Linked DNA regions of Oryctolagus cuniculus. The protein of the gene in region 2 purifies or fractionates together with the protein of the main gene of each other region. This does not show direct contact. Links are inferred from orthologs where the notes say so. Each region holds a gene or a part of one and is shown on either strand. Other genes may lie near its edges.

The links.
Region 1: the proteins of PTCD3 (region 2) and Y-box-binding protein 1 purify together in Homo sapiens (co-immunoprecipitation; 4 studies listed by BioGRID and IntAct, with this or other methods). This does not show direct contact. The link is inferred for Oryctolagus cuniculus from reciprocal best matches to the Homo sapiens genes PTCD3 and YBX1.

What each region holds. Positions count from the first base shown.
Region 1 is NC_091434.1:59,356,786-59,360,450, forward strand, and holds Y-box-binding protein 1, read right to left. Parts: upstream 2,269-3,665; 5' UTR 2,254-2,268; coding exon 1,240-2,253; 3' UTR 718-1,239; downstream 1-717. UniProt on the Homo sapiens protein: DNA- and RNA-binding protein involved in various processes, such as translational repression, RNA stabilization, mRNA splicing, DNA repair and transcription regulation.
Region 2 is NC_091433.1:116,615,105-116,618,923, forward strand, and holds part of PTCD3 (small ribosomal subunit protein mS39), read right to left. Parts: intron 3,793-3,819; coding exon 3,686-3,792; intron 2,265-3,685; coding exon 2,186-2,264; intron 2,091-2,185; coding exon 2,000-2,090; intron 1,373-1,999; coding exon 1,287-1,372; intron 865-1,286; coding exon of another isoform or gene 827-864; coding exon 678-826; intron 1-677. UniProt on the Homo sapiens protein: Mitochondrial RNA-binding protein that has a role in mitochondrial translation.

The DNA.
Region 1 (3,665 bases), on a different chromosome or scaffold from region 2:
AGCAAGAGTAAAATGTATTAAACATCAAAATTATCAAAATATTTTATTTTGAAAAAAAAATTTAGTATCATGGTCTCAGACTGGCTTATCCAAATCCAATGACCACTAATAATCACGCTCTTTAGTTCATACACAATAACAGCCTACAAAGGCCAACCACTTCTGTCCTCTATTATTTTACTTCTATTCTATTTAATTCTAGTCTAGTATGAAGTTCAACACAGAGATAAATGTTCTTAGGGAGTAGTGTCACACTCCATGGCTGCAATTTCATAAATCTAGGTTGATCCTGACTCACTAGTGGACCTCAGAACTCTACAAAAACCGGGTCACTGTGAGCTTGATTCTAGGTTCAAGGTCTCTGCGAGGGATCTTTATTCCTTCTTCAAAATCCTACAAAAGCTCTACACAAGTCCTTTTAATAACTGCAGCAGAAAAATATAGCCCAACTGACATATTAGCAAGCATAACTTAGAGGAAAAGTTACTCTTTAATCCCTAATAATTATGATACACTTACTATTCACAATTCTTACACATGACATCACAATGAAATATGTATTATCATCATTCCAACTTTACAAATGGGGAATCTGAAACAAGGACACAAACATCACACTACCAAGAGTGGGAGGAAGGGTTCAAACTCATACCCTCAACTACCACCCTGTGCTTCTGTACAAAGGATCTTCAAAAAGTTCATGGATAATGTGTATTATTTTTTTTTTATTTAAGACCTTTATTAGCAGGTGCTTGCAGTTTGTTGACTTTTTTGAAAAAATCAAGTTGTAAACTTTTATTACAAATTAAAAATGAAGTTCTTAAAAATCTCAACTTGACCAGATATGAAACAATTTAAAAACCTTTAAAGGTGTATTGAGAAAAACCAGGCTTTTTTAAAAAACACGTTTGTCGTTACCAAAAAGAGACATCTTTAGGTAAAAATAATAAAAACCCCATGCTGCATAGATAATGCAGATAGTTCTAGTAATCTGGTCAATGGGCAAAAAGCAAGCACTTAAGGTCTTCAGCTCCAATCTTTTGTTCATTTCTTATTGCTGGAATTTCATATTCATTTCTTCTTGTTGGATGACTAAACCGGATGATGGTAGAGATGTTAAGCCGGCATTTACTCAGCCCCGCCCTGCTCAGCCTCGGGAGCGGACGAATTCTCAGCTGGTGGATCGGCTGCTTTTGTCTCTTTGCCATCTTGTGGTTTAGGGTTATCTGGGCGTCTGCGTCAGTAGTTGAAGTTGCGGCGGTACCAACGCTGAGGTGGCTGCTGACCCTGGGTCTCATCTCCTTGGTTTTCCTTGTCTTCTTCATTGCCGTCCTCTCTAGGCTGTCTTTGGCGAGGAGGACCTCTGCGGAATCGTGGTCTATAACCCCGATACATATTCTGTCTCACTGGTCTACCTTGTTCTCCTGCACCCTGGTTGTCAGCACCTTCCATCACTTCTCCCTGCACAGGAGGGTTGGAATACTGTGGTCGACGCCCATAGGGTCTCCGCATGTAGTAAGGTGGGAACCTTCGCCTGCGGTAGGGCCGGCGTTGTTGGGCCTGGCCTTCGGGAGCGCTCTCCGATCCCTCATTCTTTTCCCCACTCTCACTATTCTGGTAATTCTGCTGGTAATTGCGTGGAGGACCCCTACGACATGGGTAGCGTCTATAATGGTTACGGTCTGCTGCATATTTACTGCCTTGCACTGGAACTCCACCAGGACCTGTAACATTTGCTGCCTCCGCACCCTTTTCTCCTTCAACAACATCAAACTCCACAGTCTCTCCATCTCCTACACTGCGAAGGTACTTCCTGGGGTTATTCTTCTTTATGGCAGTCTGGTGTACAAATACATCTTCCTTGGTGTCATTCCTGTTGATGAAACCATATCCGTTTCTTACATTGAACCATTTTACTGTTCCCAAAACCTTCGTTGCGATGACCTTCTTGTCCCCGCCGGCGGGCGCCGCCAATGTGAGGCTGCCCAGGCCACCGCTCCCTGCGCCGCTGCCCGTGGTGCCGGGCTTGGTTTCCACGGCGCTGAGGGCGGGGGCGGCGGGCGGCTGCTGGGTCTCGGCCTCGCTGCTCATAGTTGCGGTGATGGTGACTGGGGCCGGCTGCGGCAGCTGAGGCTCCTCCCGGGGTGTGATGGTAACTAGGCCGGCGGTGGCGGTGGGGCTGCTCAGGGCTCTCTGGGGTCCGCTCTCCGCTCCCGCTACCGATCGAACTATGTGTATTATTTTTAAAAACATGCATTTCAAACATGTTTGTACCCAGATACTTCTCTTTAAATTCCACTTTCCATGAACTTTGAGGTTGCCTCATACAATGATTTATCTTTAGTGCTCTTCCATTTTAAGTATCAAAATATCAGCATTATTAATAATCCTACACAACATTAATTCTATTTCTAAATAATCTACTACTGTTTCAGCCTACTGTCGCTCCCCCTCTTCATGGAGGAACGACACTAAACCCTGCCTAGGCTTCATATCCGAGTCACGGCACCATTATGTCGCTCCCCGTCTTCGTGGAGGAACGACACTAGACCCTGCGCTGTTCTTTTGTCTGCTCGGCCCTCCCCGGGTTTGCTGCTGGTTCTTCCCAGGTTGGCTACCGTCCCTCCCACCTCCGTGGAAGGGCGGTTCCCCCTGCCACTTTCCCCACTTCCGCGGGGGAGCAGCACACCGCCAGCCGGCTCTCTCGGGGGCTGCACAGGTGTTCCTCTTAGATGTTCCTGGTGCATGTTGTCTCTCTCCTCCTTTATAGTCCTCTTCCACCAATCCCAACTCTGCTACCCACACGCCGAGTATGCTGCTCTCCTCCAATCAGGAGCAGGTCCTGCTGTTTATTGGTTGAACTGGAGGCAGCTGAGTAGAAGCTGTTTACTCCTCTCCCAGCGCCATATTGTGGGAGAGCAGATGCATAGAATAAGTCTTAATTCCAGTAACAGTCTAGTCTGAGTTGCTCCCCACAGATCCCCCTTTCTTTTTATTTTTTGGCGTTGATACGCGCCTGTCTTCGGTGCCCCGTGGCACACACTCTGCTCTGCTTGCTGGAGTTGCCCACAGGTTCTTACAAGTCCTATCAATCAGGCAAACCGAATCCGGGTCCTCTCTTCGCCATGTTGTGAGGTTTTTAGGCGCTGATGCGTGCCTGTGTTCGGTGCCCTGCAGCGCATGCTCTGCTCTGCTAGAACTGCCTGCAGGTGCTTACAAGCCCTACCAATCAGGCAAACCGAATCCAAGCCCTATCATCGCCGTCTTGTGGGGAGACTTATTGGTGTTGATAACGTGCCTGTCTTCGGTGACATGCAGCCGCTCACAGGTGCTTATCGTCTTACTAATCAGGCAGACCGAATCCAAGCTCTCTCATTGCCGTGTTGTGGGGAGGCCTTTCTATTTCTCTATCTCCAGGCATTCCTATTTCTCCTATTTTACTTCTATCTGCCAGCATTCCTATTTCTCTCATTTTACTTCTATACTTCTATTTCTCTTATCCCTGCGGCATCCCGGCGCCCGCCCCGAGGCTGCTTCTTGGCACCTTGCCCCGCAGCGGCTTCCCGGCTCTGTGCCACTTCCCGGCTTCGCGCATGCTCCGCGGTCTCCGCTCCCCTTCACACCCGTACCACAGCCTTGCGCTAGCCCCACGTTCCCTATCTATT
Region 2 (3,819 bases):
GTGAACAAATGCCAAAAGTCCAAGTATTCAGTCCATGTTTAAAGCTGAAGAGTGCAGGTGCAAGGAGCACCTTAAATGACACTTTAACACTCCAAATGACCAAATCACTTTTTAAAGATATATTTCTTTGATCACTCTGTTCCATTTAAGTAGCCTGGAAAATGAGGCTGACAGCCTGACTTGCCTACGGATACACTAAGCTGAAAGGACAGAAATGCAAAGTCTCAGTCCTTCAAAACTATACCCTTGGGCCAGCGCTGTGGTGTAGCGGGTAAAGCTGCCGCCTACAGGGCTGTCATCCCATATGGATGCCGGTTCAAGTCCCAGCTGCTCCACTTCCGATCTAGATTCCTGCTAATGTGCCTGAGAAGGCCGCAGATGATGGCCTGTGCCCCTGCCACCCATTCAGAAGACCTTTTAGAATTCCTTGCTCCTGGCTTTGGCCTGGCCCAGAGTTGACTGTTCTGCTCCTTGGGGAGTGACCAGCAGATGAAAGTGCTCTCTCCCTCTCTGTTGCTCTCTACCTTTAATTTATTAAATAAAACAATCCTCATACATTTGAGAATGGCTGTTGATATACCTAACTTCCCCTCCAAACTAGAGAACCTCTTCTCACTGTCCTGGGTATATGTTTTACATGCAAACACAGATGCTTCTAATGTACACTGTATACTCACCAGGCTTCCTGAGTTCTTCCAGCCCTTAAATACAGAATAGCTATACAGTTGAGAGGACTGGCTGGCCAATTGGGAGCAGTCTGTCTGGCATCCTGGCTTTCATACGTGGATTTGATATCCGCGGCACAATCAGCAAACGCCACCTGAAGCTGAGAGTCTCTGAGAGTCAGCAGAACTGCCTTAAGTGCTGTGAGAGGATTTACATTCAGGAGATTACCAGAGGGCCATAAAATTCTGAGCAATCCATTGTAACATGCCACACAAGTAAGCAAGCAGAAAGACAAAGCAGACTCTCTTGTGGGATAAACAACTCGATTACCCACACCTTTCAACTTCAACCATGCGCCTTCCTTTCAGATGGAAAGTGTTAAGAAGCAAGCTGCTATTCATGTCAGAGCAGAGCAGCAGTTTCCATGCTGCCTGCTTGGACTGGAGCAGTGACAGTGACAGCAGGTTCGTTTAGGTGCACCAGAATGTACACTTGGGTTTGGATGGCAGAGCTCTCCATAATGATAGAAGAAACCATGGAAACTATCCTTAAAAGGGCCTCCCTGTTACAGGATACACTGTTAGCACACATCAACAAGAACAGTGACACTGCAGCCCTACCTCTGGTGGGTGCTTATCTCTTGCCATGAGCTCCAAGATCTCTTCTCTCAGTTCTTTGCGGAAAGTGTGACCATATTCTTTACTATCTTGACATGAAAAAGGAACGCGAGAGAGCCGTCACCATCAAGTAAAACCAATACCCTTTCTAGCTGACATCAGATCACTGTTAGCTGTAATTCTTAACGTTTTTGGTGGGTAAAAAACGTTGCTGATGGTAGCCATTCTAGCTTTATCCGAAGATTCCAGAAAACAAGCAGGGTGATTAATAGAAACAAAAGCTGACTGATAATATAGAATCACCTAGTTTTGAGTCAATTCATCCACACACAACAGACCAACACACATATCACAGTCATGGTTGCTAGTTAAGAAATGCAGTAATCAGGGTCTTTCATTAGCAACTGGACCGAAGTGAAACACCACTCGTACAGAGGCTCTGAGGTCATTCAGACTTCAGGCTAACCGTGTTTTTCTCTGGGTCATGTCACATAACAGCTGTGCAGAACTTAGCTAGTTCCTATGTCATGAAGGGTCTGACTTTAGTTTTTATTTCAGTTTTATTCATGTTATCCAGTATCAGCAAGTAACTGAAGCAGATCTAATCTATTCCACTTTAAAATGGAAACTTCCACCCCAACAAAGTTAACATGTTCAATAATCAAACGGTAGGACACTGAACTGAGATGGGCCTGGACACAAAGCTGATTACTTACCTTTCCAAATTTGAGGAATCAGTTCTAGTCGATTGGCCACATCCAATGCTTGGAGAAGATCTATCAATGTCTGAGAGCTGGGAAAGAAAACCTGATGAGAGAAATACAAATTTATTTTTTAAAGCAGCAATCAGGAAAGTTAAAAGTTCATCTACAATGGTAAGTGACATATACAAATCATCTTACAGAAGGTATCAGGTCCTTGTACCACTTCAAGGTGACATCGATTTGTTCCATTAGACAAAGCAAACTGAAAAACTTGGAACTGTGGAGAGAAAAAGTATGCTTAAAATAAAATCCCTATGTCTAACAACAAGAAAATAATTACTGAAATTCTGTTATATGACGATGTGTTAGAAAATTTCAAGTATTTATAAACAGTATCAAGTTCAATGGCCTACACGGGATCAGGTACTGACCTTTACAATGAATACCACTTGAACATCAACTAGTCATTATGACTGCTTCCTCCTCAGCAGTATCCGCTCCCAGTGAGCAGACACGGAACATATCCCATTAAAAGCATTCAGTGTGAATAAGGACTTTCTCACATAGAAGAAACAATTCTCACACTTCCACGAGCAGCTAACTCCTTAAGCTCAAGCTTTATCCTCCTACAAGCAAGCCCACTTTAAGGAGCCTCTCTGGGCTCCAGTGTCTTTACCATTACCAAAGCAAGCAGTTTTGGAACAAAGCCTTTAAAGACACATCCTCCTATAATTAAGAATATCAAATATTAAGAGGGCTGAGGAAAAAGATACTAGACTTTCAAACCTGGCAATCTCACCACTGCTGTAATTTCAGAATGCTCAATTAACGCATACTGTTAAATCACAGGTCGGCTCTCTGAAACTGGAGGTGAAATGTGGATTACACCAACACCCTCCCATTTGTAGTGAAGCAACAGCTTGAGTGTAGGCGCTCCACTTTAGAGCATCCCAGACTCCATCTTTTTTTTTTTTTTTTTTTGACAGGCAGAGTGGACAGTGTGAGAGAGACAGAGAGAAAGGTCTTCCTTTTGCCGTTGGTTCACCCTCCAATGGCCACCGCGGCTGGTGCACCACGCTGATCCGATGACAGGAGCCAAGTACTTATCCTGGTCTCCCATGGGGTGCAGGGTCCAAGTACTTGGGCCATCCTCCACTGCACTCCCTGGCCACAGCAGAGAGCTGGCCTGGAAGAAGGGCAACCGGGACAGAATCTGGTGCTCTGACCGGGACTAGAACCCGGTGTGCCGGCGCCGCAAGGCGGAGGATTAGCCTAGTGAGCCGCAGCGCCGGCCCAGACTCCATCTTAAGAAAGCATCCCCCACCATTAAACTCTGGTCTGAAACTTTGATCTACACTCATCCACCTGGCAGAACAAAGAAATTCCCTAGCATGATTGCTCAAGCTTAAAACAGATAGGCTGCACCTGGATTAATGTTAAGATTGTAAGAATTGACATTGGTTATTTGTTTCATATGGGCCTTAGGTCCACTTGACCCTTATAACCACATATTCCCCCCTCCCTTCCTGTGGTTTTTGTCTCCCTGTTGCTTTCAGCCTCAGGGTCAAGAGTTAGGGCATGAGCTGCTTGCTCTCCATAGCCATCAAATCTTATCCATGTGTGGTGCTCCTCTCACTCACTCAGGCACAACAGTAGAATCTACTAATGAAAGCACAGGGATACATTTCATACACTTACTAATAGAAATTACGCCGATAATCGGGTCCAAGGAATTTCCGGTTATCTCCAGTGTTCAAAAGGCCATGTATTTCGTAAGCAAGTTCTAGATCTCTGAGCGATGAGCACTGAAAATGTGCAGACAAGGTATTAAT